4 linked regions of the Arabidopsis thaliana genome follow. The protein of the gene in region 4 purifies or fractionates together with the protein of the main gene of each other region. This does not show direct contact. Each region holds a gene or a part of one and is shown on either strand. Other genes may lie near its edges. The genes, in order: PHB5, HAP6, PHB4 and ATPQ.

What was found.
Region 1: the proteins of ATPQ (region 4) and PHB5 fractionate together in Arabidopsis thaliana (co-fractionation; one large-scale study listed by BioGRID). This does not show direct contact.
Region 2: the proteins of ATPQ (region 4) and HAP6 fractionate together in Arabidopsis thaliana (co-fractionation; one large-scale study listed by BioGRID). This does not show direct contact.
Region 3: the proteins of ATPQ (region 4) and PHB4 fractionate together in Arabidopsis thaliana (co-fractionation; one large-scale study listed by BioGRID). This does not show direct contact.

What each region holds. Positions count from the first base shown.
Region 1 is NC_003076.8:4,608,744-4,614,913, forward strand, and holds PHB5 (prohibitin 5), read left to right. Parts: upstream 1-4,358; coding exon 4,359-4,646; intron 4,647-4,818; coding exon 4,819-5,280; downstream 5,281-6,170. Other genes in the region: AT5G14280 (DNA-binding storekeeper-like protein), read left to right, coding at 380-604, 688-987, 1,123-1,503; AT5G14285 (DNA-binding storekeeper), read left to right, coding at 1,937-2,701; AT5G14290 (Mitochondrial ribosomal protein L37), read right to left, coding at 3,469-3,867.
Region 2 is NC_003075.7:11,275,014-11,285,670, reverse strand, and holds HAP6 (ribophorin II (RPN2) family protein), read right to left. Parts: upstream 7,243-10,657; 5' UTR 7,133-7,242; intron 7,041-7,132; exon of another isoform or gene 7,028-7,040; 5' UTR 7,026-7,027; coding exon 6,880-7,025; intron 6,745-6,879; coding exon 6,552-6,744; intron 6,473-6,551; coding exon 6,383-6,472; intron 6,143-6,382; coding exon 6,080-6,142; intron 5,872-6,079; coding exon 5,802-5,871; intron 5,652-5,801; coding exon 5,587-5,651; intron 5,251-5,586; coding exon 5,196-5,250; intron 5,073-5,195; coding exon 4,951-5,072; intron 4,868-4,950; coding exon 4,752-4,867; intron 4,368-4,751; coding exon 4,298-4,367; intron 4,050-4,297; coding exon 3,945-4,049; intron 3,844-3,944; coding exon 3,754-3,843; intron 3,672-3,753; coding exon 3,523-3,671; intron 3,340-3,522; coding exon 3,228-3,339; intron 3,146-3,227; coding exon 3,062-3,145; intron 2,940-3,061; coding exon 2,859-2,939; intron 2,771-2,858; coding exon 2,546-2,770; intron 2,462-2,545; coding exon 2,339-2,461; and 4 more. Other genes in the region: ZAC (Calcium-dependent ARF-type GTPase activating protein family), read right to left, coding at 1-128, 212-375, 541-616, 771-852, 938-977; AT4G21140 (copper ion-binding protein), read left to right, coding at 7,449-8,180; EMB2271 (Transducin/WD40 repeat-like superfamily protein), read right to left, coding at 9,385-9,462, 9,543-9,608, 9,695-10,039, 10,104-10,328, 10,417-10,657.
Region 3 is NC_003074.8:10,073,509-10,080,425, forward strand, and holds PHB4 (prohibitin 4), read left to right. Parts: upstream 1-3,300; 5' UTR 3,301-3,395; coding exon 3,396-3,707; intron 3,708-4,015; coding exon 4,016-4,543; 3' UTR 4,544-4,555; exon of another isoform or gene 4,556-4,755; 3' UTR 4,756-5,100; downstream 5,101-6,917. Other genes in the region: AT3G27270 (TRAM, LAG1 and CLN8 (TLC) lipid-sensing domain containing protein), read left to right, coding at 1-552, 2,126-2,198; AT3G27290 (RNI-like superfamily protein), read right to left, coding at 6,530-6,917. UniProt on the Arabidopsis thaliana protein: Prohibitin probably acts as a holdase/unfoldase for the stabilization of newly synthesized mitochondrial proteins.
Region 4 is NC_003074.8:19,393,166-19,400,646, forward strand, and holds ATPQ (ATP synthase D chain), read left to right. Parts: upstream 1-3,258; 5' UTR 3,259-3,523; coding exon 3,524-3,694; intron 3,695-4,116; coding exon 4,117-4,198; intron 4,199-4,486; coding exon 4,487-4,551; coding exon of another isoform or gene 4,552-4,555; intron 4,556-4,654; coding exon 4,655-4,741; intron 4,742-4,852; coding exon 4,853-4,954; 3' UTR 4,955-5,279; downstream 5,280-7,481. Other genes in the region: IQD3 (IQ-domain 3), read left to right, coding at 1,276-1,344, 1,468-1,764, 1,866-2,081, 2,232-2,351, 2,441-3,031. UniProt on the Arabidopsis thaliana protein: Mitochondrial membrane ATP synthase (F(1)F(0) ATP synthase or Complex V) produces ATP from ADP in the presence of a proton gradient across the membrane which is generated by electron transport complexes of the respiratory chain.

The sequences.
Region 1 (6,170 bases), on a different chromosome or scaffold from region 4:
TTGTGTGATGTTGGTACGGGTTATCTTCGTGCTTCTTGTCGAATTGAGTATATTGTATCAGTAAAGAATTTATAACTTAAAAAGAGCCTTATGTCAAATACGACGTCGTTTTGTATGGAAATGGATTTTTTACACCGCTGAAAAAATAAAAAGAAAACTCGGAATCTCTTCTTCTTCACTCAAGAAGTCGCTCTGAAACTTGGAAACCACATTTTTGTTCTCTCAAGAGTCTGTTTTTTTTTTCTGGCGTAAGTTTGAATTTCATGAAAAGTTGTTATCGCTAGTCGATTTAGTGTAATTGATATCCTGATTAAGGCTTTTCTCTGCATGCCAGCCAATCAGGCTAGAATTGTGAAGTATAAAAGTAAGCAAATTGACAATGGCGACTCCGACGGAGCTAGGTTTCTCTTCACCTGGTGGTGGTGGTGACGACTCTGACGATAACCCTCCACAGAAGCGTACTTCAAAACGTACTGCTTCCGAAACAGCAACAGAAGAAGAAACGAAGAAGAAGAAAAAGAAGAAGACGAAGCACAACACAAAAATGGCTTCTCCTCCGAGCAACCGGATCTGGAACGAAGAAGACGAGCTCTCTATCTTAAAGGTATTTCCTACTTTGTCTCATCTATCTACTGCATTTACTTGATTGCGTTGCGATTCCTGAAACGGCATATCTATAATTCTCAGGGATTGGTGGATTTTCGAGCTAAAACAGGACTCGAATCCAAAATTGATTGGGATGCGTTTTATTGTTACGTCAAAGGTTCCATTCATGTGAAAGTTTCCAAGTGCCAGCTTATGAGTAAGACCAGGAAGTTGAAGAAGAAGTTCCTTGATCAAATGGAGAAAATCGATCAAGGAAATGATCCACATTTTACTAGGTCTAGTGAAACTGAAGCTTTTGGATATTCCATGATGATTTGGCGTAAAATTGATGCTGAATACACTAATGGTGTTATGGATAAAGCACATCAAAGCGAGAGTGGAGTAAGTGACTAATAAGAGTTTGTCATTTGTTTTTGATACACAATCGTCAAATCTGTTACAATAAAACTTGCTTAATGAATTGTGGTTTAAGAATGATTTGGATATTGTTCAATTATATGGTTTGTTGAATCACAGGAGGAGGTGTTTGAGGAGGATGAGGAAGTGGCCTTAATTGACAAAGGGGCTGCGAAAAGTGGCAAGTCACCTCATGAAGCTGTTGTTGTTGTTGACAAAATAACTACGAAGAAGAACGGGACTGCTGGAAAAGAGAGTGATGATGATGATGATGATGTGTTGTGTGCTGTGCGGGATGCGTTTGAGACCACCATGATGTCGCAAGGATTAAGTGATTATCAAAAGAAGTTGCAGCTTGAGAAGCTGATGAACCTTGGAACTGGTAAAAGAAGAGAGTTGAGCAATGAATGGAAAGCACTATGTGTTGAGGAACTAAAATTGAATATCAACAAGCTTCGATTTTCCGCCAAGCTTGCAGAGGCAGCAAATGATGGTAAATAAAATGAAGAAACGCCATTTCAGCATTTGGTGTTTGTCGTTTCGGAATTGGCTTGAAAAATATAGTTTACTTCTTACTTCTTACTACTTATTAGCCATAGACCATTTACCTATAAATGTGGTTTATGTCTTTAGCTTTACTACAACTTCTGGTGATTGATCTACTTGGGAAAGTATTTGTACCATTTCACTTTGATTTTTACCATCACACCTCAGTGTCCTTCTTCATCATAAAAAGAGATGATATTATAAAGTTGTTTTGGTCAATATAATATATGATTAAATAGATATTTTGATACATGTGTCTATCAGTCTATCGTTTAAGCTAAAACTCAACGAGACGACAGACGATAAAAAGGGATTAAGTTTCTTCTGTGTAGATTATTCTTCTTCTTCTTCTTCTTCCATTGTCTCTTGGGTTGAGATTCCGATCTCAATGTCGATCAATATCGGAGAAATCTCAATTCCAGACCTTCCTATCTTCTTCTCCATGTTCTTAACCATCTACCTAATCGCTTACTTCATCGTCTTCCGCAATTGGAAACCACAAATCCGTCCCGAAGCTTCAAGCTGCCTGATCTCAATCTTCCATGGATCTCCAGCGGTTTTCCTCGCCACACGCGCAGTTTTCTCCTCCTCCGAACGCTCCTTCGCCTCCGCAAACACCGCCGCACAAAACACCGTCCTCGATTTCAGCGTCGCTTACTTCCTCACCGATCTCTTCCACTACATCGTCTTCAACCCTAACGACGTACTCTTCATCGGCCATCACGTAGCCACTCTATTCGTCTTCCTAACCTGCAGATTCCTCGTCTTCCACGGGGCTTGCGCCATCTTAGGCCTCCTGATTCTAGCTGAAGTAACAAGCGCGTGTCAGAACGCGTGGACGCTCGCCGGAGCAAGGAAGAATGATCCGGAATCACGATTAGCTGTGAAAGTGTACGATCTCTTGTCTCCTCCGTTTTACGCCTTCTACAGTATCGTTAGGGGTGTGTTGGGACCTTTGTTTTTCGGGAAAATGGTAGCGTTTTACGCTCGAGGTGGTGCTCATGGTGTGATACCTAATTGGTTGTGGATTTCTTGGGCAATTGTTGTTGGAATTGCTATTACTGTTAGTATACTTTGGATTTGGAATCTCTGGATAGAATTGTTTAGTGAAAGGAAAGCTAACAAAATCAGAGTAGACAAGAAAATTAGATAGTTTCTTCTTTCTTCTCTAGATCATTGTTTGATCTTCCTTTTCATGTACTATATATAATATATATACCATTATTATTCTCACCTTTTAGAATTCCTCTAAATGATGTATGTTTTGGAATAATAGATTTGCTTTTGGGTAAGCAGTATGTGCAAAATGCACTTTTAATTCAACTCTGTATTGTTCAGAAGTTCTTCTCTTAAGAGTTTCTTCCATACACATATGTCTTGTCTCTCTGCTACACTTGGTTGCTCACATCTTGATTCTTGATATTGATGAGAAACGTTTTCTTTATGAAGTGTGCCATTCTTGGTGAGTTATATTTGGCTTTATAACTCTCTTTGTTTACGGCCAACACCAAGTCCCCTGAAACCAGCAACTGGTAAGCCATATATTCTTTTACTTGGAAGAATCAAAAGTTAGCTGGGGAAGTGTAAGAAATTACGAAACACAGAGATTCATATCTTCGATCATTGGATTGTGAACTTTTCATGTGTTGAAGAGGATAGGAAGAGAATTGGGGACTAAACATACCATCCAAGCTGAGACATGGTGTTAGGCAGTCTGTTGTGGAAAGCTGAATGATATACCATTTGGCCAATGAATAGCATAAAATACACAAATTTAACCAATTTACTGAGAAGAGCATGGAATTAGAGAAAAATCTTTTAAGATCAAATAATCCCAAAGATAATAAGGAAAATGAAGGGATTGCTCAAACAAGGGGAATTATAAGGGACACATACAACAAGTCATTGTTGAATCTCATTTCAGTTCTTGGCCTTGATAGAATGGTTCTCCTTGATTCTAGCTCTGGTATCCAGCTTCACAAAACGTTTAAGATCATCAAAACTAAGAGTCTCAACGTTCTTCCTTCTAAGTTCGCTAAGCGCCGGTCGCTTATCAAGCAGATGCCATAAATAATCAGGGTGATCTGAATTAGGCAAGATCTTAGGGTCCAATCCATCTTTCAGAGTATTAGCACTAACAACCATACTCGATTTGATCTCTTTGCTCAAGTTCGATGCTTTTGGTGCATCATTACCTCCATCTCCCCTCCCAACCTTCTTCGCTTTACCAGCAGCTGTAGCAAATGTTCTTTGGCACACAAATCGCATTACATCTTTGGATCTAGAAATGGAATCCCCAAACATTCGAATAAGGTTCATATCAACAACCTTATACCTGCAAATTCACAAAATAAAACTAAATAAATCTACACAATCCTATAATGTTCGTTCTCGGATTTAGATCAAGATTCGAGTTTTGTCGAAGATTTTTGGGTGAGGGTTTAACTCGCAAGATAGAGATAGGTAGCGAGTGCATCGCGGGAACTGGTAAAACTTATTAAAAAGTAACGGACCGGAAAATTAAAAGACCCGTCTAAAAGCCCACCAATAGTAATGCATACAAGTAACACGTGGCAGGTATGGTTGACCGAGTGAGTAACAGAACGTGAGAAAACCGACCCGCTAAATAAGAACCCGCCCAATATAATAAGCTTTCTCCTTAACTTCTGCCTCACGCAAAAAAAAAAACTTCCTATAAAACCTCATCTCCTGCGTTCTCTAACTACTTCTCACCTATCTGACAAGAAAAGAAACCCTAAACAACATAAAAAGAAACCTAAAATCCATACAGGAGACATTCAAAGCCAATCATGCCTTGGTCAAAGTTCACAAAGGTAGCTCTAGGTCTAGGAGCTGCCATAGCGGCTGTGAGATCAACAATGTTCACCGTTGATGGTGGCCAGAGAGCTGTTATGTTCCACCGATTCGAAGGGATTCTAGAAGAACCAGTAGGAGAAGGGACACATCGTAAGATTCCGTGGGTGCAAAAGCCGTATATCTTCGACATTCGGACCAAACCCTACAAAATCAATACCGACTCTGGAACTAAGGATCTTCAGATGGTCAACCTCACACTTCGTGTTATGTTTCGCCCTGATGTAAGTTCCCGCGAATATCCAAAAAATTTCACTAATAAGATTTTGTGATATATATGTAAAATAATATATAACTGTTTTCCGTGGGTTCGTGTTAGGTTTCGCGCCTCTCGTATATATACCAAAACTTAGGTCTCGACTATGGTGAAAAGGTCCTACCAGCGATCGGGACGAGGTGGTTAAAGCGGTGGTGGCTCAGTTCAACGCTGACGAGCTCTTAACAGAACGTCCACAGGTCTCAGCTCTTATACGCGAAACGTTGATCAAGCGAGCTAAGGAGTTCAACATTGTTCTCGATGACGTGTCGATCACTGGTCTCTCATACGGTAAAGAGTTCTCACTTGCGGTGGAGCGGAAGCAGGTGGCACAGCAAGAAGCTGAGCGGTCCAAGTTCGTAGTGGCAAAGGCTGATCAGGAGAGACGAGCGGCTGTGATTAGAGCAGAAGGAGAGAGCGAGGCGGCTCGGGTTATATCGAAAGCGACTGCAGGGGCTGGGATGGGGTTGATCAAGCTCAGAAGGGTCGAGGCGGCTAGAGAGGTTGCGATTACGCTCTCTAATTCTCCCAATGTCGTCTATTTGCCAAGTGGTGGGAATATGTTGTTTGCAATGAACGGTCCAAGCAAAGTTGTTGCTTGAATTAGTTGCAAAAATATGGTGTTCAATGGTTATATTGATTTGTGTGTTTTAAGATTTTCATTTTTTTATATAGTTTCCTAGTATTGGATCACCCTAGTATACTCCAGTTGAGACTGTTCTTGCGAGTCTGAGACTCGCACACATGACACATGACACATCTACTGTTAAGTCGACATTGACATCAAATTAAACAATCACTGTGCCAATCAAACTTATGCATAGACCTAGAGATAATTAAGTAGTCCAAGTTCAAAGGTTGATCTAACCTGGATCAGTGCCCTTGGTAGCTATGGCACATACTTCCTCACTAGGGAAAATGGGAGCTGATTATCCAGCAGCTTTCGATTAGATATCAACAAACAAAATGCAAATTAGGTTATCTTAGAAAGAAAAAAAAACAAGCTATTCATCGGATCACAAGTCACAAGTGTCACCTCGAAAGAAACTTGGGCCCATCTATATTATCTTATGGGCCTTATCGACCGATTCAAATATTGCAAATTAGTGTCGTTAACCTTTTTTGAAAACATACGGCCATTAGTGACAATTTAATTAATATTCTACAAATTCGAGCAGTGTCTTCTACATTTCTTTGTAAAGTCTTTGGTTTTTAATTTTAAGGTCAAGTTCACCATGAGCGACCAAAGTTTTGAATTTTTCAAGGTTTTTATTTTCATTTTATCGTTGTATGGAGAAAGTTTCTTATATCTTCATTTGAACATTGAATAGAATTATTAAACATTATAATTCAAGGTAGGATGGTCAAACAATTATTCTAGATTTCCCTCTTAAATTCCCAAATTTAACATAATTTAAGCTTTTGGTAACCAAAAATCTAACATCTTACAAAATTTAATAAATGTTTTTGGCCCAAAGAAAATTTATAGTGC
Region 2 (10,657 bases), on a different chromosome or scaffold from region 4:
TGCGAAAGCTATCAACAATCTTTTTAGATAGACTCGATGAAAGAAATGCTGGAGTCTTTGTACTAGAGCCCCTCACGGATGTGATCCGCAAGCTTGGTTTCAGAAACTCTTGGTGCTCATATTTCGACCTGAAACAAAGATTTGAGATGAATATTTCACCAAACTATTAATGAAGGTATATACACTATCTTATCGGGTTTTTGTAACCTACCTAATGAACCTCATACGCTGGTCATGACTAGCATCAGGTCCAGGCTTAGAGCTACCTTCAGGAATAAACGCCTCGTAAATTGAATTTGCAGAGGCATTTCCTCCAATTTCAATCATCGAATCGACTTCTTCATCTGACCATTCATCCAATGTCACGGATAAGACCTGGAAAGTTGAAAACTATAAATACACTTGCAAAAGATTCTGTAAGAAGAAGTGGAGCGAGATAACAAATCCACAATATTATTTGTAAGCCATCTTAATGGAATCCAATGGCAAATTTTCACCAAAGATAAACCAAAACTAGAAAGAGAAGCAAAGAGTCACAACCTTTGAGATATGACTGCCAAGGCTTCTGTGGACACCACAACATTTTAAGCATATAAACACTCCAATATTAGCTGACCTGTAATAAGCAACCAAGAGTTTTATGGGTTTACGAAAAACGAAACAAACCAAAAAATGCACAAGTAGGGAAACAAGATCATAACATTCAATCAAACTGCTTAGAGAAGCATAAAATGCTTACTGGAACAAAACATAAAAATGGCAAAACTTACGCCCACTTAGGATCTGGAGCGCCACAATCAGCGCAGACTCGGTTATCAGATTGAGTTAAAAGATCCCTTATTCTCCTTTTACCTGTGAACCAACAAGGTGGATAAATCAGTCACAGCCTATATATCTCTCATACAAAGACTAATCTTTGCTAAGATAAATGGTTTACCTGAGCCAGGCTTTCCGAGTCCGGCTCCAGAATAACTCATTGCTCTTCTAAAGAACTAGCAATCATCAAACAGAGAATCCTTCACAGACCAAAGAAATCACCCATCACGCACAATATGGTTAGAACATGGTATTGTTAAATGAGAGATCAAACTCTGCTTTGCAAATTTAAAAACCAAACTTTTTTGGGGAAACCACGACCGCAGAATAACCATGAACAAATCGTTTTCAATACCCATTTGTAGATCATCAGCATCATCGATTCGTGTTCCCAAAATCGAAATTCAAATTTAGAAGAGAAAAAAAGGCCAAAAATCTGATCTTTGTTAATTCCTGAAACCATTTCAACGACGAAAACATAACCGACAGGAAAAGACTTACAAAGAAATATTCAAACTCGATGAAACATAAAACCGATGAAGAAGAGATCAGAAAGGAACAAGTAATATGTACGGAAATTCCATCAAGGAGATTTATAGATTGGATTGGACGTTCTTACCAAGGTGAGGAGAGAGAGAGAGAGAGATATGTTCTTGGGACACAAATTCAAGATGAACAAATAATTGTCTGAAAAGACAACTACGTGCTTTTTCTTCTAAAATTTAATTTTCCAATCAACTGTAAAGTTTTGTGAAGTTGTAACGATGCAAGAAAAAAAAAAAAAAAAAAAAGTTGTAACGTTGCCATTGCCATGTTAAGGGTCAAATACCAAATACATTTCCTTCGTTGACTCGTTTCTACCCAAAGTAATTTCTACATTTTTATCAGCATTTATTTCTATTTTGACTAGAATGAAATTCGGTTTGATTTTATATATAAAATTTCATTTCGATTTTATGGCCAGCCTATTTCAAAATTTTGTTAGACCTTTTAACTTTCCACAAACACTCATAAAGTGTGAATAATTAAGAAACTCATGTGATCTAATCATGAGCTAATCATTATCTTAGTTGATTTGGTTCAACAAAAAAGCTAAGGAAAGAGACTCTTGATTACTTTTTAAGACTAAACTGAGAGAGTATGTAAACTCTGAACTTCTTTTGAATTTGTCTATCACCATAATCTATAAGCAATACTACAAAACTGAAAATACGCATAAACCAAAAAAAGATCCTTCATAGTGAGTTCTTCTTCTTCAAGCAGATTTCAACTTGTTTGATGCTGATGCAAGTTGAGATAGTGTTCTGTGTCCCACGAACAACAGAAACACTCCCAACAAAGAAAGTGCCTTGAGAGTCGTGAATAGATCCAACTGTAGAATGCAAACAAACAAAACAAAGAAATTGTGATTTGATGCAATGATTCAACTGTAGAATGCAAACAAACAAAACAAAGAAATTGTGATTTGATGCAATGATTCAACTGTAGATCAAACAAACAATAATCGGTTATGAAAACTTGCCTTCAACCAGAATAGCACATATAGAAGCAAAACAGCTCCAATTCCGCAGTGGAAAAGTAAAGCGGATATTGCAGATCCAGTCGACGATGGGAAGCTCTTTATGTTCACTCCCAACCGCGTAAGCTGAAACATAAAAAATATATATGAGTAGTGAAAGAAATGTGATGATGTTTTTCGGATACTATTTACAAGCAAAGGGAGACTGACCCCAATCAGGAAACCGATGAATGGGAGAACGATAACACCCAAGAAAACTAGTGAGAGCTGCTTTGCTGGAAGCTTTTCAGGAATCCTGAATATGTGTGATATTTCAGCTTTTGGCCCATATCTTGAGTAAGGCTCAGTAGACTGTAGAGGAGGACGAGTCGCCTTCTCTGGACGCTCTGGTAGGTCTAGTTCAATGTGACCAATATTACTCAGTAAAGAGTTCTCCTGGGAAAAGAGAAAGGAAAATAACACTGTTCAAATCTCAGAAGACATAAATCATCAACTGCATTGGACCTGAAAGTAAAGTACTTACCATAGAAGCATCTCCAATGGTTAGCTGTATCTCATATTTACCAGAGAGGTAGTAGAGCTTCTCAACCAATCCAAGAAAATCCTGAAGGTAAGAAAATAACATTAACCATTAATATTGTATTTAGGACGTCATTAATTTCACCAAACTTGATCATTAAACTTTTTTTGCAAAAGCAATTTTAAATGAAGTTGAAGGAACTTAACTAGAACTAATTCAGACTTCTTTCCAGAAGTTTTCACGAGAAAGATATGCTCGACCTGTGACTCATGTTTCAGCTTGAAAAATGCCTGCATGGAAGTAAGCAAGTCAAGAAAGTGAATAGAACAGAATATAACCATTGATGAAGCGAAAAATCAAGAATGAACAAACCTGGTGTGGCTTAAACGCATTGCCAAGTGGAGTAGTTAACTGGAATGACAGGCGTAGCTTTTGAAGGTGGTTTGCTGATAATGATACCGCTCCATCTTTAGTTAAATCTAGCCTACAAATGTTACAGAGAGAACCAATAAACAAAAAGAAGACACTAAGCACAACAACAAAAAGTTTGAAATATATATTGTAAGCAATAATGGTACAAGTTTCCTAAGAAAAATGGTTAAGCAATTAGCAATCAATCAAAATAAGCAAAAAAGGAAGTTGTTCATCAACAATACAGGTGACATACTTTTTCTGAGATTCAACGCTTCCAATGTCACTGTCAAGTACAGCAATTTCTGCATTTTCAATGCTAATAGCTCCTGTGGCAGCTATAGGCACTTTTGTTTGAGCTTCAGTTATGTATACTTTCTCATGTGCTGATTCATCCAGCACAATCTGCAGAAAACGAAGCTTATCATGTTGTCATCATACATTTATATGAAGTCTTGGGTGTAGTAAAACCAAAGAAGTGCAATACCTTAAATACAAAAGTATATTTTCCAATGTCAAAGTTCTTGGGAAAGGAGTCCAGGAAGTACGTTGCACTGTCAGCGTCAAACTTAAGCTCCTGTACCCCAAAAATGTAATGGAAAAATGTAAACCGGCCTAATGCAGAGAATAAGGAACATTTCTATTGCAAGCTCAAACAGTAAGAGATACATTATTTACCTGGTTATTAATTACAGATGAATCCACTGACTTAGAACTTAGAGCTTGTGTAAGCTTCACACTAAGAGCTGGTGCCTTCGAACCCAGTACAGTGCTAACTTTAACCTAGTTCCAGATAAAGAGAAAAAAAATCTAAAATAAGAAAAAATGTAATGGATGAAGGGTCAACTAAAATGAGTCATTATCAAATAGATAAGAGATCTCTACAAAAAAGATGCAATGCTATGAGCCTGAGCAATCTCTAAACCAAATACCAGCTAGAATCCAACATCCAACCGTTATAGCCAGAAAGTCCAAAGTTAAGACTTTCACTACTAGAAGTCAAATCTTGATGCAAGCTTATGAATGGGTACCTTCAGAGGCTCTTTCTTTGTCAATGAAATGACAGTGGATGGAAGAGACAAGATGAGTGGAACAGAAAACCTGAAATGATAGAGAATGACCATAGAGCAAATTATTGTTCCCATAGAATGATAAAGTTTCAGCTAGACCATAATAAATGAGCAAGTGGTTGAAATTTCACAAGTGTTCAAAGTTTTAAACTTCTACTCTTTCCCTACAGATATCATTTCTTCGGTAATCATTTTGTTCAAAATTCTAACAATGTAAAGAGAAACAGTTTTTCTCTTTCATAAGCAACTTTACTTTAACACAAAAGAATGGAAGTAACAGTAAGTCCTTGTAACTCTTATGTCTTTCACACCACTCAATTCAAGGTTACTGAAATGATTCTAAGATGTGTACTGAAATAAACTAATAAGAAAATGCACAAAGAAAATGCACAAAGGGGCATGAAAGTAGTATTACTTGTTGTCTTCCAAACAAGCTAGTGCATCTATTTGGTTGAAGAAGTCCTTGGCATCACCAGGAATTCCAACACCCAGAAAGAATTTGGCCAGACCAACTATCTTATCACCTGGAAGCTGCATGAGATAATGGGAATGCGAAGGTCAACTATCAACACATTTGTCAGAATAGGATACATGAAAACATGGGTATTACATACGTTCAATCCTGTGGATTCTGAAGCTGCAAATGACGTGAGCCCTCTAATAACTGATGCAGTTGTTGAGATCGGGCCTTGACTTGCATCAACAGACTTCTCATCAAAATAAAATGTCCCATCATCTAAAAGACCAAAAATAATAATTCAAAGCCCACATATGCAAAACCCAAGCTGGCAAAAACTATGAAGTGAGTGAAGAGAATATAACATGCAATACATAGGATAGCAAGTAATTTACTGCATACCATATTTTTGGATACTGTCAGAAAGCTTCAGGATACCCGTCTTCACCGACTGGATCTAACAGAGGACAAACATGAATGACGATCATTACATAACCAAGATTAATAAACTACCAGATAAAATGAAAAAGAAACCACCAGAATAACCAAATGAGAAGTCAGGTGGACATGCATAATTATCAAAACACGAATCTTTCTTTGTGATTATCAAATCACAATTCCCTGTAGCTAAGATTTGGAATTTATAATTATCAAAACAAAACTCTTTATTTTAGTTACTTAGAGATTCCAGAAGCAAAAGTAGATCATCACTAAACCAACATATCGTAGTGATATCTCATCAAAATATATTCTCAGGAAATCAGAAGTATAGTGGATTAAACATCTCACTTACCAAAGATGGATCAAACTCTGAAGGTGCTAATGAAATCACTCCAGCAAGCGTTTCATAGGCTAAGCCTGAGAAAAAAAATCGCATGTTGAGAAGAATGAGTGAAATAACAAAGAGCAAAAGAAGTGAACAAGCTGAAGCAAGAAAGGAAGGGATACATAATCTAAAAGGCTCATCATTAACGTTAGGTAAGGGTTAATCCAATATGTACTACTAACCAGCAGCAAAAGTGCTTGATTCGGGATTGTTGGAGCTGTAGCGCCATCTTCCATCACTCTGGCTAAGAGACTGATACAAATGCACTATATCAGCCAAATAATACCCGGAAAACAATCTAAGTAGTATTAATATAGTAACTGAGTTTTGGTAACATATCGAAAATATATATATACTTCTACCAGAGTCTATAATTGATAGTCCAAAAAGACAGTGTATGAATGTCACATCTGATAGTTCAACAACAACAAAATTGAAGGTCAGCTAAACAAGTTCAAACCTTGATGGAACGGAAAATGGCTTCGGCATCTCCAAGACTTATATGAGTTCCAGGAAATTGCTCCTGCATTCATGGAACAGTGAGGTCAAACTTGAAGCCAGGAAAAAGAAAAGTCAGGAAGCCAAAGCTATGGAGTTGAATAAAATAAAATAATCACGATCACAGGTACCTTCTGCCAAAACATTTTCATACTTCAACATAATGCACGAAAAACTAAGAAAACTCTCCTAGAAATACTCTATGGAAAAAGGGTGTAGTCAATCTCACTCAAGATGTCCACCAAAAGTTTTAACTCGTATTTACCTTAGCCAGCACCAAGCCTCTGACAGAATAATAGAAATCAAGCAATAGCTTCGCATCTTTAACACCAGCTTGAAGTTGAGAAACAATGTCCTTCAAAAGAGGAAAAGATAAGGTTATTTTAGCCGCTTAATAGTTAAAATTATGATACTGAGAGGAGACAATTGTTTACCTTAGGACCAGCTTCACCAATTTTACATTTTAGAATCCCATTAACGTTTAACGCATAAAATGCATCCTTAAGAGTAGAAGAAGACGACTGAAGAACTTTAACCACATTCTCACAAGTCTTTGAGCTAAGATCAGACTTTTTATCAATTCCAAGAATCTCCAAAGTCTTTAATGCTTCATATGCCTCCTCCAAGCTGATAGTAATAAAAATCAGATTAGTCCGTACAAAAACCATTCATGAACATTAACGAGCAACCAATATGTAATCGGTGAAATGTGGTTAAAACCCCTACATCAAAGCAATGCCGACTTAAGATAGAGAAACCAACCTTTTGTATGATCCATCGACTGGTACGAAGACATCCAGAGCCGCAGATCGGTGAGAGTCTGAGATCGGCTGGAAAACAGAAGCAGCACCGCAAATTGCTACGGCGAGTATCAAAACCAGAAACCGTACGTTACCTCCGGCCATCATCACTGCATAAGAAAACTCAAAAAAACAGATAAACTCATCCAAATCAATACAATTACACATCTACGACGGATGGATTCCAAAATCAACCGAAGATTTAAGCTTCTTACAGATCGGAAGTAGATCCGTATAGTCGAAGAAGCGGATCAGAGGTCGACGAGTCTCAGTAGTCAACGGAGACTGAGGTTTGAGGTAAGCCTAGGATCGATCTATAGCTTTTGAACCAGACGACGAACCAGAGAGAAGGCTAAAAAATGAGTGTGAGTTTGATGACACTACCTGATATTACCGATTTACCCTCGATTTGAACTTAAATTACACTTCATGAAACGACGGCGTACCTTGAAACCCTAAACCTTGCAGATCAACTTCAATCACCATTTTCATTTCAAACAGAGAGAGCTCTGAGGAAATCAGAATCTGAAAATGATCAGATTCGCGAGACCAAAACCTATAATTGACTCAGTGAGTTACAATCTTCTCCAGAAATGTTACGCTAGTGGAACCCCCAAAGGAAAATCGAAGCTGAAGACAGGCCAATCATTGAAACGCAACAAACTCACAATCAAAAAAGGCGGTGGAAACGGCGGTGGCAGAGGTGGTGATGAGGTGGATAAGGGAAAAGGAAGAATCTCAGATCAATGCATAAACGCTCCTTGTCCTGTTCGTTACCTGAGACCTAAGGAAAGAGAGCGAGAAGCGAGACGAGAGAAGCTAGGGCTAATCAGTAAAGCGAGGCAAAAAGAGATTGATTTTCAGAAGAAAGGTGGATCCTTTACGATGGGAGTTACTACTGCGCCGATGAGGATTGGGACTCCAGGATTGGATTACATTTCGTTAGGGATTTTTACGGAAGATGAGTTACCAAAGTATAAGGTTACAGTGGAGGATGGGATTAGACTTGCGAAAGAGTATAGTAGAGTGCTTATGAGAGAGCATAGAGCGAGACGTGTAGCGGAGATTAGTTTGATGAAGATGAGGAACGCTGCGGTTGAGGCATTGCCGGAGAATTTGAAGAAGGCGGCTTTAGTGCGTGATTTGACTCCGTTTCCGGTGAGTCGAGGTACGGCTACGCTTACTCCACCTATTGAAGGGTATTTGGAGAGGATTATGAATGCTGCGGCTAGGAAGAGCTCTGGTAAAGAGAAGTTGAGATGATCTTGTTAAGGTTAGAGGAATTTGTCTTTGCGTCATTGGTTTTCTCTTGTTTTATTAGTTGTGTTGATTGGATTTCGATCAATGGATATAACTTTGAGACATTTGTCTTTATTTTTGTGATCTACTTGAAATAAAATGGTCACTGGCAGTTGCTACTATATGATAGAATATTAGTTGAAGCTTGAAAGTTTAATCTTTTTCTACTTTATATTGTTTCATATCGGCCTTCTGAGAGGTGAAGTTGTCTAGGATGTAAATGGAATCTTGTTAAACCTCTTTTGTATCTCTTTCCTTGATCGTGTTTGCCTGTTTGCATACTTCTTTCAAATCTTCATTTTTCAGTATTATGTGTATGAACACTGTACACTCATACATTTAGGATTTGTCTCTTCATATATTCTAACCTTTAGGAAGGCCACTGGGTCATGATCAGCTCAAACTTGGTATAACTTTTTATCCTTACCAAAACCATATTCCTAGATAAGAACTGCAGACTATCTTGGAATCTACAGTTCTGCACCAAGATTACAACTGTTTAATCAATATGGGAGTTGAGGTTTGTCCTCTGTGAGCTTTGTGTTGGAAGTTCAGCAGAATGTTATGTAGGAAAGGATGTCCTGCATCTGCTTGTGCTTCTTCATTCAAATGCATAGTTTCTGGGTATTTTCTTCAAGCTCTCCATATCATTTTCTGCATCTTGTTACCCGGTCCAGTAGAGTGCAATGGCAAGAGTCCTAAAGCTACAAAGACCACGATTCTCCAAGGATCATCATAGTTTGAAAGCTGAGGTAGCTAGTCTAGAGAGAATCGTAGTCATTAGACTTCATCTAGGGACCTCTTGGCTTCTATGTTTCCTTAGTTCACTAGCTATTTTTGTAGACCTATTGAGTCCAAATCTCTGGTAAAATAATCAAGTTTGTGTATCTGAGTTCTTAAACCACAAATTTTTATCAATTCTAGTATTCTTTAGGATCTTTTGAATACCACTAAAACAAAGTTCCTCTATGCGTAAAGATCAGATTGTATATGTTGTTTGATCAATAAAACAAGACTTTTAAGCATAAAGCAGGAATGGGACTTTCCGATTTTGTTTAATTAGAGCCTCTATATGTTCTCTTTCTTCCCTTCCATGTCAAAAATATAGCTGTAGTACCTCTACATAACTGAAGTTCTAAAATAAGTTGCAATCTAAATTGAGATCCCTTCATGAAAGCCTTAAGGGATGTATTGCAACACCGTTCTGCGCAGATTTTAAGCAACCCCATCTTCCGAGCCGCGGTTCCTGCCATATACCCAAAGTTACAGTTAAGATTGGCATTCACAGAGACGAATATATATGTCTGGTTAAAGGAAAATGTGTACCTGTCCAACACCAGCGATCAGAAACCGACCAGATTTTGCAAAAGCTAAAGAGTTCACAAACCCAGGCTGCAAAAAGGTCATAAGCATTGGATGTCAGTAACAGATGCAACACACAAATAGCAATAAGAGCCGACCTAGGAAAACAAACTTACAAGTGGAAGCTCGTATAAAGGTTGTATAGCACTAGATCCACTTTCAACACCCCATAAACGCACACAACCATTACCAGCTCCCGATGCAGCAAGCTCGCTACCTCTACAGACAGCAACTGAACTGACCCAAGAACATGCTGGTGTACAGTTATGGTTAACAGAATCATGATCAGCTATCACGTGGTGAGCATTGTTAACGATAAACACTGGTTTCTTTTTCAAAATGGACCAAAGTGCAATACTTCCATTATCTGATCCGGACAAAAACTCATCACTATTAACAAAACAGCAGCACTCAAAATTTGATTCGGAAGCTCGATAGATCAACCGAGTAGACTCGGGAACCTGATAGGAAACAAAAATCGTGCTTAGATATAGACAAACAAATCAAACAGACCACAATACCTACCTTATATAACTGCATTGTTCTATCGCGTCCAACACTGAGAACACGCTCCCTCCCTAGAGCATCAATGGATAGAAGTTCAGACTGGTGTCCAAAACATGATTCTATATATGTTCTATGTTCTGCATTCCATATACTTAATGTTCCATCATATGAACCAGAAAAGAGTTCTGCAGTTCCTTCTCTAAAGCATAGACTAGAAACAATGCCACAGTGACCTGTAAAAGCCTGCAATAGATACATATCTAATAAAAGAGGCTGAGAGCAAGACACAATGAACAGAATCCTTAACTTGATTATTTTTAAGCTTGTTTACCTGGACATGCTCTCGTGTTCGGATATCCCACAAATGAACATGGCAATCAACTCCTCCAGTCGCTAAATACCGGCCATCAGAGCTAACAGCTAATGCTAGAGATTGTTTGTTATGTCTTGTATACCAAGATTCCTGGAACTTTAACCCGTGAGACTTCAAAACTTCATCGCTTGGCCATTTGTACTCATCACTTTTACCAGAAGATACATCCCAATGCAGAATAGTACCGTCTTTCGAAACT
Region 3 (6,917 bases), 9.3 Mb from region 4:
TAACCGTGGATTCTCCTCCGTCAACACCCAATCTCAAAACTCAATTCTCGATTTCAGCTCCGCTTATTTCCTCGCTGATCTCGTCCACCTTGCCGTGTTTCCTTCTCCCGCCGGCGGAGACTCGCTTTTCGCCGCTCATCACCTCGCCGTGCTTTTCGTTTTCCTCACCTGCCGTTACATGGTTGCTCACGGCGCCTGCGCTCTGCTCGCGCTGCTAGTCGTCGCGGAGGCCACGAGCGCGTGTCAGAACACGTGGACGCTCGCGGATGCGCGTGGGAAAGACGCGCCTCTAGCGGTGAGTTTGCACCGGTTCGTTACGGTGCCGTTTTACGCGTCCTATAGCGTCTGCAGGTGCGTTCTAGCGCCGTTGCTTATCGTTAAGATGACGTGGTTTTACGTCAGCGGAGGCGCTGATGACGTCATACCCAGATGGGTTTGGGTTTCGTGGACCGTTGTTATTGTTACTGCCGTTACCGTTAGTATCCTTTGGATTTGGAATTTGTGGGTACTGTTTTTTCAGGAAAGATATTCCAAATTTACCAAAAAGGTTAGGTAAAAATATATTTACAGTTTCCATATTCGAGATTTTGTTATCTAATTTGAGCGTAAATTAATATCTCCGAATAAATTATGTTCATGGATTTGGTTGCATATATATAAAAATTGTCCGGGACAAATTTTTAAAAAAATTATATCTTAGATTCCAAAATAAAGTCTCAAAATAATTAACATATAGTCAATCAAAGTTTTTATATGCTATTAGAGTTGTTTAATAGTAAAAAAACAAAAAAACTTTGGTTGACTCTGTCAAGAATAAAATGAGATTTGTTCTCTAATTTTAGCGTAAAATAATAAATCTGAATTAATCATATCCCATTATCTCTGGACTTGGAGCTATATGATCAGTACTATCATTGAATTTAGACACAAATTGGTTATAAGGGTGTTCGTTTAATATAGTTTGGTATTCGGTTTTTACAAAATAAATTTGAAAATCCGAGACAAATTGGATATTCAAAATAATTGACAGATCGTAAGGTTTATTTTTATTGAAGATAGAATACTTTTAATTATTATTGTGAGTCGGTCTTAGGTTGTTGAGACGAAAGTTAATTATAAGAATGTTTGTCACAACCCATTACTAAGTCTAAAGCATAGAAAACTTGGGATGACTAAACTTGGGGTGACTTGTACAATATCAAAAATCGAGATCATTGCCTCGGACAATAATAAATTCCACAAAAGTACGAGTGACTAGTGTCCACGAGACTAGTGGTTGAAAATTAGGACTTGAATTCATTCCCTCTAGAAGTTTATACAAATTTCAGACCAACTTTTTAATTAACACTTTTTTTCATTTATTTTTTCTTGAGCAAAATAAGAGAGGAAGTAAGATAGATTAAAATTTAAACAACCACAAGATAAACATGCTTTAAGATTCTAGTTAAGAGATGGATAATTGAACGAATCCAAACCAATTGGAGGGGAATGGTCTGTTAGATTTCACATGTTAGAGGTTCCTCCATGAAGTCTAGAGTTAGACTCTTTCGAAATCTCACAAAATGTAGCTTGAAGGATGAGTTTGACATCAACAATCTGTTGGTCCAATAGTAAATCTCCCAGATGGAGGTGTTGAGTTCAAAGCATGTTGGGAGGGATTTTTTCTCCTAAAAAGATGAATTTAACTTGGTGTAGGTCTCGCCAGGCTGACCTCGCCCATATTTACAAATTACAATATCATCAAAACCCGAAGGAGTAAACAAAGAGTGGTGATTAAAGAATGAAGTGTCATTTTAAATAGCTCCCACTTGTTTTTCTCTCGATCTCAATCTGACAGAAACTGATATATTCCACTGATCTTCATCGATTCATCAAAGTTTTAGATTTTAATTCAGATTTCATCTTAAGGGAGGGTATTACGAGTATAGGAATGTGATTATCATATTAATGAAAGTTGAGGTTTTAAAAATAGCTTAACCAAACAAATGTAATCTTGCCAAAAAGATATAAAATGAGTCCATCAACAAAATTTATCGGAGTTACAAGATCATCAGATTCCGAAAAGCTTTTCTGTTTATGCGAGCGGTAATAGTGTTTTTTGATGTCTCCGTCGATTTCTTTGAAGGTGGCCAAAGGCGAAACGGAGACACTATTGTGCAACAAGTTGTTCATTTGTTTCCAAACATGGTAAGCTGTAGCATGAGCAACTCCTACTAATTTCCAAAGAATTGTGGGAGCAGTCTCTGTTTTTAGCTTAGTCCAAGCCAGAATTGAAATCCAAGTAATAAAGATATAAGGCGATATCGTTAATCCTCTTCTGGTGTTTTCTGTATGTAAAACGGCGTCTTTCTTTTGATTCGAAACGGAGGAGTTTGTGAAGGGTAACAAGACGGAATGGTTCTTTATATCTGGGAGGACCAAGATGGGGAAATGTGGAAAAAGAATGAATCGTAGAGACAATGGAGGATACTGGAGGGTAGTATCATCTCTGCCAAGAAGATTCATGCTGGAGAAGCAGGCCTTGTCGGCTACAAATACTCACTAGAGTACTACATTGGAAAACAACCAAAATGGCGTAAAAGAGGGTTGGTTGATGCATGAACACTGGCTTAAGTCTTCTGATGATATTAATAACTACGAGCTGGTAAGAGTATATATGTACGTTTACTTACTTGGTTTCCAAGTTATTGAGACTCTTGAGTTTTGGTTTTTATTGTGACGACTTCTGTTGTTTTGTTTGAGTAGGGCAATTATGCTATGTGCAAGATCTATCTGAGTCCACACGCAGCAAAGAAGAAGAAAACACACGATGAAGAGATCGACGATTTAGTTCAATTTGTGGAAGCAGCCTTAGATGTTTCTTTTTATCTACTTTTGCTGTCCAAAGTCAGAGGTCTCATTGTCTTTATATAGAATTTCTTGTATATAACATTTTCCACTGGTTGTATAGAAAAATCAATTTTAGTCTTTTGTGCTTATTCACTCTAATCAAAATCTCTAATCAAGGTGAAGGAGGAGGTGGAGGAAGAACATTTTCATCTTGCTCTCTAAGAAGATCCAAAATCTCTGCAGGGTTGTTATCAACACGCTCTTCGTCTCTGTCTTCCTCTCCGGATTTAGTTTCGTTTATGGGCAAATAATCAAATTCGGGTTTAATCTTCCAAACCGTTGTTTCCTTTTATATTACATCATTTCCTTTTCCTTTTTTATTATTGGGCCGAAGTAGTTTATATTATTAATGGGCTTTAAACAAGCCCATATTCAATAATTGTCGGCCAAAAAAAACCCTCTCTTCCAAGTTCCAAAATCATTTCATAAACCCTAACAAACCCCTAAATCTTTCCTTTCTCAATTCTCTCCTTCGAAGCTTTTTTCTTGTGAGGTCAGAAAAGAAAATGGGAAGTCAACAAGTAGCGATTTCGTTTCTGACGAACTTGGCGAAGGCGGCGTTTGGGTTAGGTGTGGCGGCGACGGCACTAAACTCGTCGCTCTACACTGTTGATGGTGGCGAGAGAGCTGTTTTGTTCGATCGATTCAGGGGAGTGTTGGATCAGACCGTCGGCGAAGGGACTCATTTCTTGATCCCGTATCTCCAGACGCCGCACATATACGATATTCGTACGAAACCTCACACTTTCTCCTCCAAATCTGGTACTAAGGATCTTCAGATGGTTAATCTCACCCTTCGTGTTCTCTTTCGCCCTGAGGTAATTTCGATTTTAGCAACAATCAATTTCTCGATTCTGTGTTTGATTTTGTATACATTGGTTGTTTACAAGATCGAGGGTTTAGGATGATCGTGTTCGTTCGATTTAGCAATCATTTATCGATTCTGTGTTTGATTTCGTGGAATTTGAAGTTTGTGTACAAGATCTAGAGTTGAAGATAATCCTTATGTGTAATTTGGTTTCTTCGATGAATGTTACTCTTATTATAGAAGCTTTTGGTGCATATCTATGCTGGCTTCGATTGTTTGAGGGATTGAATAAGTTGTTGTGGTTATTTTACTGTGAAGGTTTCGCGTCTCCCGTACATTTTCCAAACATTGGGTCTTGAATACGATGAGAAGGTTCTTCCATCGATTGGAAATGAGGTCTTGAAAGCTGTGGTTGCTAATTTCAATGCTGATCAGCTCCTCACTGAGCGTCCTCAAGTATCAGCACTTGTTCGTGATGCTCTTATCAAGCGTGCCAGGGAATTTAACATTGAGCTCGACGACATAGCCATTACTCACTTATCGTACGGTGCTGAGTTCTCGAGGGCAGTGGAGGCGAAGCAAGTGGCTCAGCAGGAAGCTGAAAGGTCAAAGTTTGTGGTGATGAAGGCTGATCAAGAGAGGAGAGCTGCGGTTATAAGAGCAGAAGGTGAGAGTGAAGCTGCTCAGTTGATATCAGATGCAACAGCTAAAGCAGGAATGGGACTAATTGAGCTTAGGAGGATTGAAGCTTCAAGGGAGGTTGCGGCTACTCTGGCTAGGTCTCCGAACGTGGCTTACTTACCTGGTGGACAAAGCATGCTCTTTAATCTGAACCCTGGTCGTTGAGCTATAACATTGGTATGCTCTTTTACTTCTTTGAATAATGAATGAAAAATGGATTTGGACTTAAGATTCCCATTTAAAGGCATTAAGGTTATTCGGTTTGGTTGAACTAAGAGTGGTTATGGTTTGGTATAAACTGTTTGGTTTGATAGTAGAGTATGGTTTAGGTTTGTGGAATGGTGTGGTTTACTTGTTTGGCCTTGTTGTATTTGCAGGTGGGAAGAGGAGCTTCAGTGGAGACAAAACGACGGAGCTGTGAAGTTTATTAACGTTGATGCTCTTTTATTTCTGATGAACACGATGTGAAAAAAGATAATTGTTTTGAGCCGTTCTATCTTTTCTGACTCTAGAAGTAAAGACTATGCCATTGTTGTCGAAACCCGATCATTCCAATGAAAGGCTTCACCAAAAAATCTACCATAACAATAGTCGAAATTTGTATTGTCAAAAACAATTTCCAACACCAAGGTTGTTGTACTTGTATTATTTAAAATATAAATTAAAACATGGTAAATAAATTAAATAAAACTTTTTTATGTGGTCACTTTGGTGGCTTCGGTACATGCGGTGGCCTCTTGTGGTGGGGTAGACAAACTCTAAGTATAGTGCATTCACAAACTTTAACTTTTCCCTTCAAATTACAATTTGCTCCACCATAACCTTCGTTGTTACAACTCGTTCGGCACCTCCTAGCACCGTCTACCTTATTACACGTCTCTGGCGGTGCTTTGCTTGGATAATCATCACACAATTCCCAATTCATTGCTTTTCCTAATACAATAATTCGATCAATTACAAGTATTTATATCGTATTGATTATATATGCATATTTTTGTTTTTTTTCAATGAAAATATATTTGGTAGAAGATTTAATATTATTTACGATTTTATCTCCTTGTAGTGATTTATTTTACAGCTAAATTACAATTTTGACAAATTTCCTTAATTTTTTTTTTAAATGAGTATAAGAAGTTCCATTTTTTCAATATTTGTATATCTTGTAATTTATAAACCAAAAGTTTAACCGCAAATAACACCTTTTTTTTTTGTTGCATTAAGCATCTATCATTATAAATCAAACTTTTAGACATTTTGTTTTTCCTTTTATAAGTTTTTATTTTTCTTTGTTAATAGAGTGTTTTATGAATAATAAATCTAAGTGTCATATTGCTATATATCAGGAATTATTATTTCTAAAAATAGAAGAAGAAATGAGAGATAATCCGTAAAAAATGCCTATGAAATTGTTTAATGAAAAGAAACATTCATTATTAATTTATATCATAATTCTCTTTTTTCATATAACTTTGATATGTTTCTTTATTAAAAATATGTTATTTAAACGTAATAATTACCTACATGATATTATGCATTATACACTGGATGTACAAACTGCGAATAAGTATTGGAATATGAGAGGTATTATTAAGTAAACTAGGTTTGGATGAAGTGACTAGTGAGGATGGTTGGGAGATCTTGCAATGAAAGTTTGTGATCATGGGCTCATGTTTCCAGGGAATGTACAAGCAGGAGTGGATTGATAAGAGATTGATCCATTTTGAAAATTATACAAGTCATTTAACAAAAGCTACATATGGAGGAGATTAAAAGACTAATTAATGATAATGTAAAATAACTCTGATATATTCTTTATTCTCTTCTCTTTTCTTGTAAGTTCTACTTATTTCCCATTTGAATCCTGGTGCTTCAACTTTCAAGTAAAGCTCTAGTCTTTGCTTCTCTTCATCTCTCATGATCAAGTTTGACTCGAGTCCGTTGCAGAATCAAGTTTAGCTCAGATCTTTCATGATGCTGTAGATGAAGACTAAACACCCTTCTGAGTCTTATCATGTTTCCATTTTTTGTTGCAGCTCTTCTTATTGACTTAGGTTTGATACCTCAAGCACCAAGACTCTTCATTCTTCAGAAAACAGTGTATTGAGGATCAAAGTAATGTGTTAAGCTTCGGTTTTGACTTCAAATAAACTATTATAAGCGGTTAGACCTCTTCTCAATGCATACCACACAGCTGAATGCAAAACAGAACGGCTTGTTTTCACAGTCATTTAAGCAACTCCCACACTCATGGCAACGTTCTATGCAGACAACGCAAGCTCTGCAAGATGACTTAGAATAAGGATATTGACCCTTCAATGGACATGTATCTGCTGGACAATCAAATACCAGACTTGGTTTCTCACACCAGGGGCATATCTCGAGGTCAGTAACTCGATCATCCTCTAAATAGAATTCTGATCTACAAGACGTATAGAATCTCTTCTTCCTCTCTTGTAAACCCACTTTAGCATCTCCTCCTAGCAATAAGTTGAGCTCTTTAAACTGCTCCTTTGTGAAATACAACGCCCCACCAGTGATT
Region 4 (7,481 bases):
TAAACTAGAAAAAAATGTTCATTTCATGGATATGAATTGCTTCTGTAGCCTAACTGGGTTTAGATATGTTTCTAGTTAGTCCTCCAATTAAACAGATCAATTCGATTAAATTTTAGAAACTCAAAACAGATGTCTGTCACATCATCCATCACAAGAACTTAAAAAAAAAAAACACATTTCTCATATGTCAATTTAATTAGTTTTTTTTTTCCAACCAAATTGGTTCATGTACTTGATTATGTATACACTATACACACTCATATAAATGGATAAGGTAGTTTTATAGTCCAACCACCGACAAAACGTGCATTCCACTTCTTCTTCTTCAATTGCCATGCCGTCGTCAATATCTCAAACTTGACTAATATAAACCAAAGAAGAAGAAGTATATAACAGAACCAAAAAATATAAAAATTCATGTTCGTTGTATTACCAAATTTAATTTACACTTAAATAAACCTACCAACCAATCACTCAAAACAAATACCAGTTCGTTACACAATGGACACTTGAAGTTGAAAGCAACCGAACAACAAAAGTTTTAAAAACTAATAAAAATTTAGGTGAATATAATAATAAGGCCAACTATGAAGAAAAGGTCTATTTTATACTTTTTATATAACCTTTTGTCACGGGCACTGTTTCATTCCCTTGGACCCCTTCTTCTTCAAGATCTGTTTCTTCCTTCTTTCTCTCTAACCAGATTTTGTTGTACCAGAGAGAGAGAGAGAGAGATCCCTTAATAATTCTTACACATTTATCTTTCTTGTCTGAATCCTAACAAAGACTTTAGTTTTGGTCGATCTTATAATTTTCTTTTTTTATTCTATGGATTTCTCTTCCGGGTTTCAATAATTGTCACTTCCGTAGTGTAAGTACGCGTGTATTGTATACTAGTCAGTTACACAAGTGTCCTTATGTGTTTCCTTGTCTTTAATTCATTTCTGAAACTGAATTTATTCTTCTCTCAGATTCTGCAAAGGTTTTGGTTTTTTCTCCGAGTTTTTTTGTCCTTCAAAAAAAACTTTGGTTGCTCTCTCTCTGTTCAAGAAGATCCGAGCTTGATTCCTAATCTGTGAGTTTTATGCATTCCATTTAAAGCTCTGATTTTGTATTCCTGTATCAATGTTTCCCCCTAATGTTATAGATTTTGGATAAAAGATTAAGTCTTGATGGATCTTATGATTAATTGTAACAATTTATATCATCCTTGGGTCATGAATTTACCTCTGTGGTTTTGCATTTGCAGATCATTTGAGAAGAAGAAACTAAGAAATGGGTAAGAGTTGGTTTTCAGCTGTGAAGAAAGCATTAAGCCCAGAACCAAAACAAAAGAAAGAGCAGGTCTTTATGCTAGATTATTCACATTTTTTGGTTATCTATATCCATAAAGAGAAATGCTTCTATATGTCTTTGATGTAATTGAAAAGCTGATACTGAAAATGGTATTGTTTTTGACTCCATTAGAAGCCACATAAGTCCAAGAAATGGTTTGGTAAATCCAAGAAGCTAGATGTTACTAATTCTGGTGCAGCATATTCTCCTCGTACTGTCAAAGACGCGAAACTAAAGGAGATTGAGGAGCAACAGAGCAGACATGCTTACTCTGTGGCTATTGCAACTGCTGCAGCTGCAGAGGCAGCCGTTGCAGCTGCTCAAGCTGCTGCTGAAGTTGTTCGTCTCTCTGCATTATCACGGTTCCCCGGGAAATCAATGGAAGAGATCGCCGCTATCAAGATTCAGACAGCATTTAGAGGATATATGGTAACGTTTTTGTTTTTTAACATTTTCAAGTCTAGTAACTATAAAGGTGGTTTTGCTAACTAATGGAACAAAGTTCATACTTTTTGGTTACCCTTTATTAGGCAAGAAGAGCATTGCGTGCGTTGAGAGGTCTTGTGAGGCTAAAATCTTTAGTCCAGGGGAAATGTGTGAGACGTCAAGCCACATCTACATTGCAAAGCATGCAAACACTAGCTAGAGTACAATATCAGATTCGTGAGAGAAGGCTCCGATTGTCTGAGGATAAACAGGCTTTAACACGACAGCTCCAACAAAAACACAATAAAGACTTTGATAAGGTAAGCAAATCAAATCCTTACAAAGATGTTTATAATTTTAGTTACAAACTTGGCTTTTTGTTGATCTCGGATACATGAGAAATTCACAATGTGAAATAGATTATGTTTCTTGCTACAAACTTAAAGATTGTATTACGTTTTGTGAAATAGACTGGAGAAAATTGGAATGATAGTACATTGTCGCGGGAGAAAGTTGAAGCAAACATGTTGAACAAGCAAGTAGCAACAATGAGAAGAGAAAAAGCGCTTGCATATGCATTCAGTCACCAGGTATTAAACTAGTTTCCTATCTTACTTTAGTGTGTCTTTACACCAGAAGAATTATATATCTCAAAATGGTGAAACTTGTTAATATGCAGAATACATGGAAAAACTCAACTAAAATGGGTTCTCAAACATTCATGGACCCTAACAATCCGCATTGGGGTTGGAGTTGGCTAGAACGTTGGATGGCTGCTCGACCAAACGAAAACCACTCACTCACACCAGATAATGCTGAAAAAGACTCTTCTGCTAGGAGTGTAGCAAGCCGTGCCATGTCTGAGATGATTCCACGAGGCAAAAACCTTTCACCAAGAGGAAAGACACCAAACAGTCGAAGAGGGTCAAGCCCGAGAGTGAGGCAAGTCCCAAGTGAAGACTCAAACAGCATTGTGAGTTTCCAATCAGAACAACCTTGCAATCGTAGGCATAGCACTTGTGGATCAATTCCATCAACTAGAGACGATGAAAGCTTCACCAGTAGTTTCTCTCAGTCAGTTCCAGGCTACATGGCACCTACACAAGCCGCCAAAGCAAGAGCTCGATTCTCAAACCTTAGTCCTCTAAGCTCAGAGAAGACAGCGAAAAAACGGCTTTCCTTCTCGGGATCTCCTAAGACTGTAAGACGGTTTTCAGGTCCACCAAAGCTGGAAAGCAATGTTACTAAGAAAGATACTAATCTTGCTTAAACAGAGAATGGATATATATATATAGTTTATATCTGACATTGTTGATTAGGCAAAAGTCTGGTGCAGAGGTGAATTCAGAGAAGATTCTGTTATGTCTTTGTTTGTTTTTTTGGTATTTTTTTTTACTACAACAAACTTAATTATTTGTTTGACTTTTTTAATTGGTTGAACATATTTGTATTGATGAAGAGACATATATAATTTTCCACATGCTATCTGAGTTCCTTCTTTAACATATTTGCTAACGCCAAAGTAATCTAAAACATAGAACCAGTATTGAAACTTAATGGGGGTGTTTTTTAGGTCAATTAAATAATAAAGGGGTTAAATTAGAAATAAAGAGAAGTAAAAGGGCCTGTAAGCCTTTTAGGGATTCTAGGGCTTTCCTTCATTGGTCAGATCAGACGACGTTTTACATCTTCTTCTTCTTCCTCTTCGATATTCGTCAGTGTGTGTATTTTGGGGAAAACTTTGTGAGCAAAGAGCGAGAAAATGAGCGGAGCCGGTAAGAAAATCGCGGATGTGGCTTTCAAAGCTTCAAGGACTATCGATTGGGATGGTATGGCTAAGGTCCTTGTCACAGATGAGGCTCGTAGAGAGTTCTCTAACCTTCGTCGTGCTTTCGATGAGGTTAACACACAGCTCCAGACCAAATTTAGTCAGGTTCTCCTCTCGATTTCCCCCCTCTCTTGATCTGATTTTGTCACTACTGCTTGGTTTAGACTTTTTAGATCTTTATAATTTCGATTTCTGGATCAGGTGCTTCTTTCACGAATTTTTACGATTATCAGATTTTTGTTGGTGACACTCATTTTTTTCTATTTTGTTGATGTTGTTGTTCCCATTGTTGATTGATCCAGATATGTGTTAAGATCTATTTCCTTAAGACGTGTTAATCAGAGAACATTGTGGTTGGTCTTTGTTTATTGATCATTAGAAATGTGGAATTGTATCGAGAAAAACATTGATGTATACTATGATTAGCCCACTACATTTCCAATTCCTAAGAGATCTTTTATTTCCTAACTTGTTTTATGTATTGGGTTGTGGAGTGATTGTTGTTTTTGGTTATCCTTTTAATCCAGGAACCTGAACCTATAGATTGGGATTACTATAGGAAGGGTATTGGAGCTGGCATTGTTGACAAGTACAAGGAAGCTTATGACAGTAAGTTTTATTTTCTCTGCAATTTATACTGATACTTGGGAGCGTTTGTGTAGCCTTGCAACTCATTATCACAATGAGTTTGTCAGTGGTTATCAAGCGGATGTCTTTTGCTTGCCTTACTTCGGCTCTCAAACCTGACTATATTGTTTTGAGAGAGATGTGCTTAAGAATGGGGGCTGAAACTGAAGTTCTTATACTTGTTATATATCTATTTGATTGTTGGAATTGTGGAGATATATCAAAGAAGATTATGAGAAACTAAACTGCATCTTTTATGGCTTGCTGCAGGCATTGAGATTCCAAAGTACGTTGACAAAGTTACTCCTGAATACAAGCCAAAGTTTGATGCTTTGGTGAGTAATAGCTGAGACACTCGAGACTTTTTTACAATTTTGACAGGTCTTTTCAATTGACATCGTTTTTGTTCTCTTGTGCCATGTTTCATGCTATATCTAGTTGGTGGAACTGAAAGAAGCAGAACAGAAATCGCTCAAGGAGTCTGAACGGTTGGAGAAAGAAATTGCTGATGTCCAAGAGATCAGCGTAAGTAGCCAGAAAAAACAAATCCTCTTCTATGAAGTTTGTGTGTATTTTTTTTCAACTCAAGATTCTGATAAAATGATCATGGTTGTTTCTATGTGTTGGTGTAATCAGAAAAAGCTCAGCACCATGACTGCAGATGAGTACTTTGAGAAGCACCCGGAACTCAAAAAGAAGTTTGATGACGAAATCCGTAATGACAACTGGGGATACTGATCATGTTTCTCCATCTCCGGCTTGGAAAGAAAACTCTCTTTCTCTTTCTCTGTTCTCTTACTGTGATTTTGTGAGCCAATCATAACAATAATAAGTACACCATTCACTTAAGCAGTGTTGAGATCTTCATTCCAAGGAAGATAAACGCATTTGGTTTTAGTTATCAATTTCACAAATTGTTTCGTTTCGTTCTTCAGTGAATAATAAGAGTCAAAAAAATTATCATTGTCAAGGAATGAAGAAGACTCTTGACTCGTCATTGTTACATTTCCTCTCTTAGCTAACAGGATAGTATTAATGTCATGTTTTTAGTTGATTTTTTTGAGTTAGCAATTCGGTGCAATGGTAAATAAAGACGAACCCAAACCAACTCTGGTAAGCAAATTTGGTTGATAAGTCTGTCGGTTTGTTGTTAAGCCTTCGGTTTACCTCGAACCGGGTTTTAGAATTTTTGTCGACCCAGAAACACATATCCCAGATTTCGTTCTTCAAGACACAATGCTAATTTCTGCAATTACACTCAAGTGGTGAGCTTATTACTTGATGGAGCCTTGCGCAACCATAGATAGTTCACGAAATGGTATGCGGTTAATGGTTATCAAAGGTGGGTGAGGTCTTTGATTCTGACCGTTCATAGAGGGTTAATATAATCGATTGCTATTTTTGATTTTTGCCGTTAAGTCTCTCTGTAAGGTCCAGTGCATGTTACTGCTTGTCTAATTACACGAAACAAATACTGGTTAGCTATGTGCTTAGAGCAGAATGCTTAATAACAAGTAGAAAGACAAATCTTTATTGGTCTAAAAGAATCAAGATCCACGTGCTCTCCTCCTACCCTCTTCTTTGTACCGAAAGTCAGGTTTTGGCCTTTTGCTAATTATTGTATCAAATAAGATAGGGAGATAAGACCAATTTCCTCTTTTAAAGTTAAAACCTGTATCTGTAAAATGCATGAGCCAGATATTAGCCTCGTAGATCATGCTATCATGTCTATCACGTGTCCAAGGTCAAAGGGTTTAGCATGTCAATCAATCCAATTTTGGAGGGTATATTACAGTATATTCGTCTAACCCTACTCTATAAATAGGTGATGTGTGTGTCCAAGCTCCAAACAAAACAACACAACAAGGAGCTTCTCAAAACCTCAACACAAGGTAACTTTTAACCCTTTTAATGAGTCTAGTTCACTCAATTAATGGTTCAACAAAAAACAATTCTTTTGACCATTGATTCTGAAACGTACAGAAACAATATGGAAATGGGAACCTCATCATCATCATCAGGCTTGGTCAAGGCCAAATCTGAGACACTCGCAGAAGCTCTTAAGTCCAGTTCACTTGATTTCAGCAACGGTGATGGCAGCAGCCACGGGAGCAAGCAGCATGTGAGGGCTAGGACATTATCATCGCCGAGCTACAGTAGCAACAGCAAAAACAGATGGAACACTCACATAAGGAAGGCCAAGAGTGCTCATCCTGCTCTTGACCTTGCTGGTCTCACTGGTGGTGCTGCTCTTAGCCGAGCCTCTAGTGCTTCTCTTGGACTATCCTTCTCTTTCACTGGATTCACCGTGCCACACGAAGAGATAATTGCTTCAGAGCGCTGTAGCAATGACGATATTTGTAAGAAAACCATTAGATACCGCACATGATTGAAGCCTTGATGTTAACTTTGGACTTTATTGGGTTCTTCTTCTGGTATCATTCATATTGCAGTGGAAGATATTGAAGCAGCAACCAGTAGCGTGGTCAAGTTTCAGGCAGAACCAACCTTTCCGATATATCTGAAGGTAACCCATTTCCGCTGATAGATAATCTTATGGGAAACATGGGAAAATGATCTTTATATCTATTTGAGCGCAGGCACTGTCTGATGGAGATATGTAATTAAACCATCAACACCAAAAAGTCCGTAGAAATATATAAAATTTTGCTGCCATTGGTCAGTCCAAACTTCAATGGGTCTGTTGTATCTCATATGATGTTTCCTAAACAAGAAATCGCTATTTCTCCCATAGTGAAGAAACATCCATAAATTTTACAAGTAGAATAATCTTCATCATTGCATTAAGACATTTGGAAACCTCTGTTTTGCCTTCTTTGTTGGTCTAACTTTGGTGCCCAAAAGTCAAGCTTAGGAGGCTCAACTACCATTTACTTGTTATCGGCAACATGTGAAGCAGAGCTTCACGCTGGACCAAAAGGGTATGGTTATATTAGTATCGCCTTGTATAAATCAGAGAGAAATTCTAGTCATATTTCTATGGAAAAAGACTGGTTTTCATGAAAATTCAAGCATATAGGAACTTTTACTTGCAATTCTTTCTGACCAAATCAATTCTTATCATGTGTTGTGCAGTTCATAGATATCACATACAAGGTGACAACCAAAGGAATGACATCTTCATCAGAAAAGAGCATCTTGAATGGGATTAGTGGTTCAGCATATCCAGGGGAGCTTCTAGCTCTCATGGGACCTTCTGGAAGTGGCAAAACTACACTACTTAATGCGCTTGGTGGCAGATTTA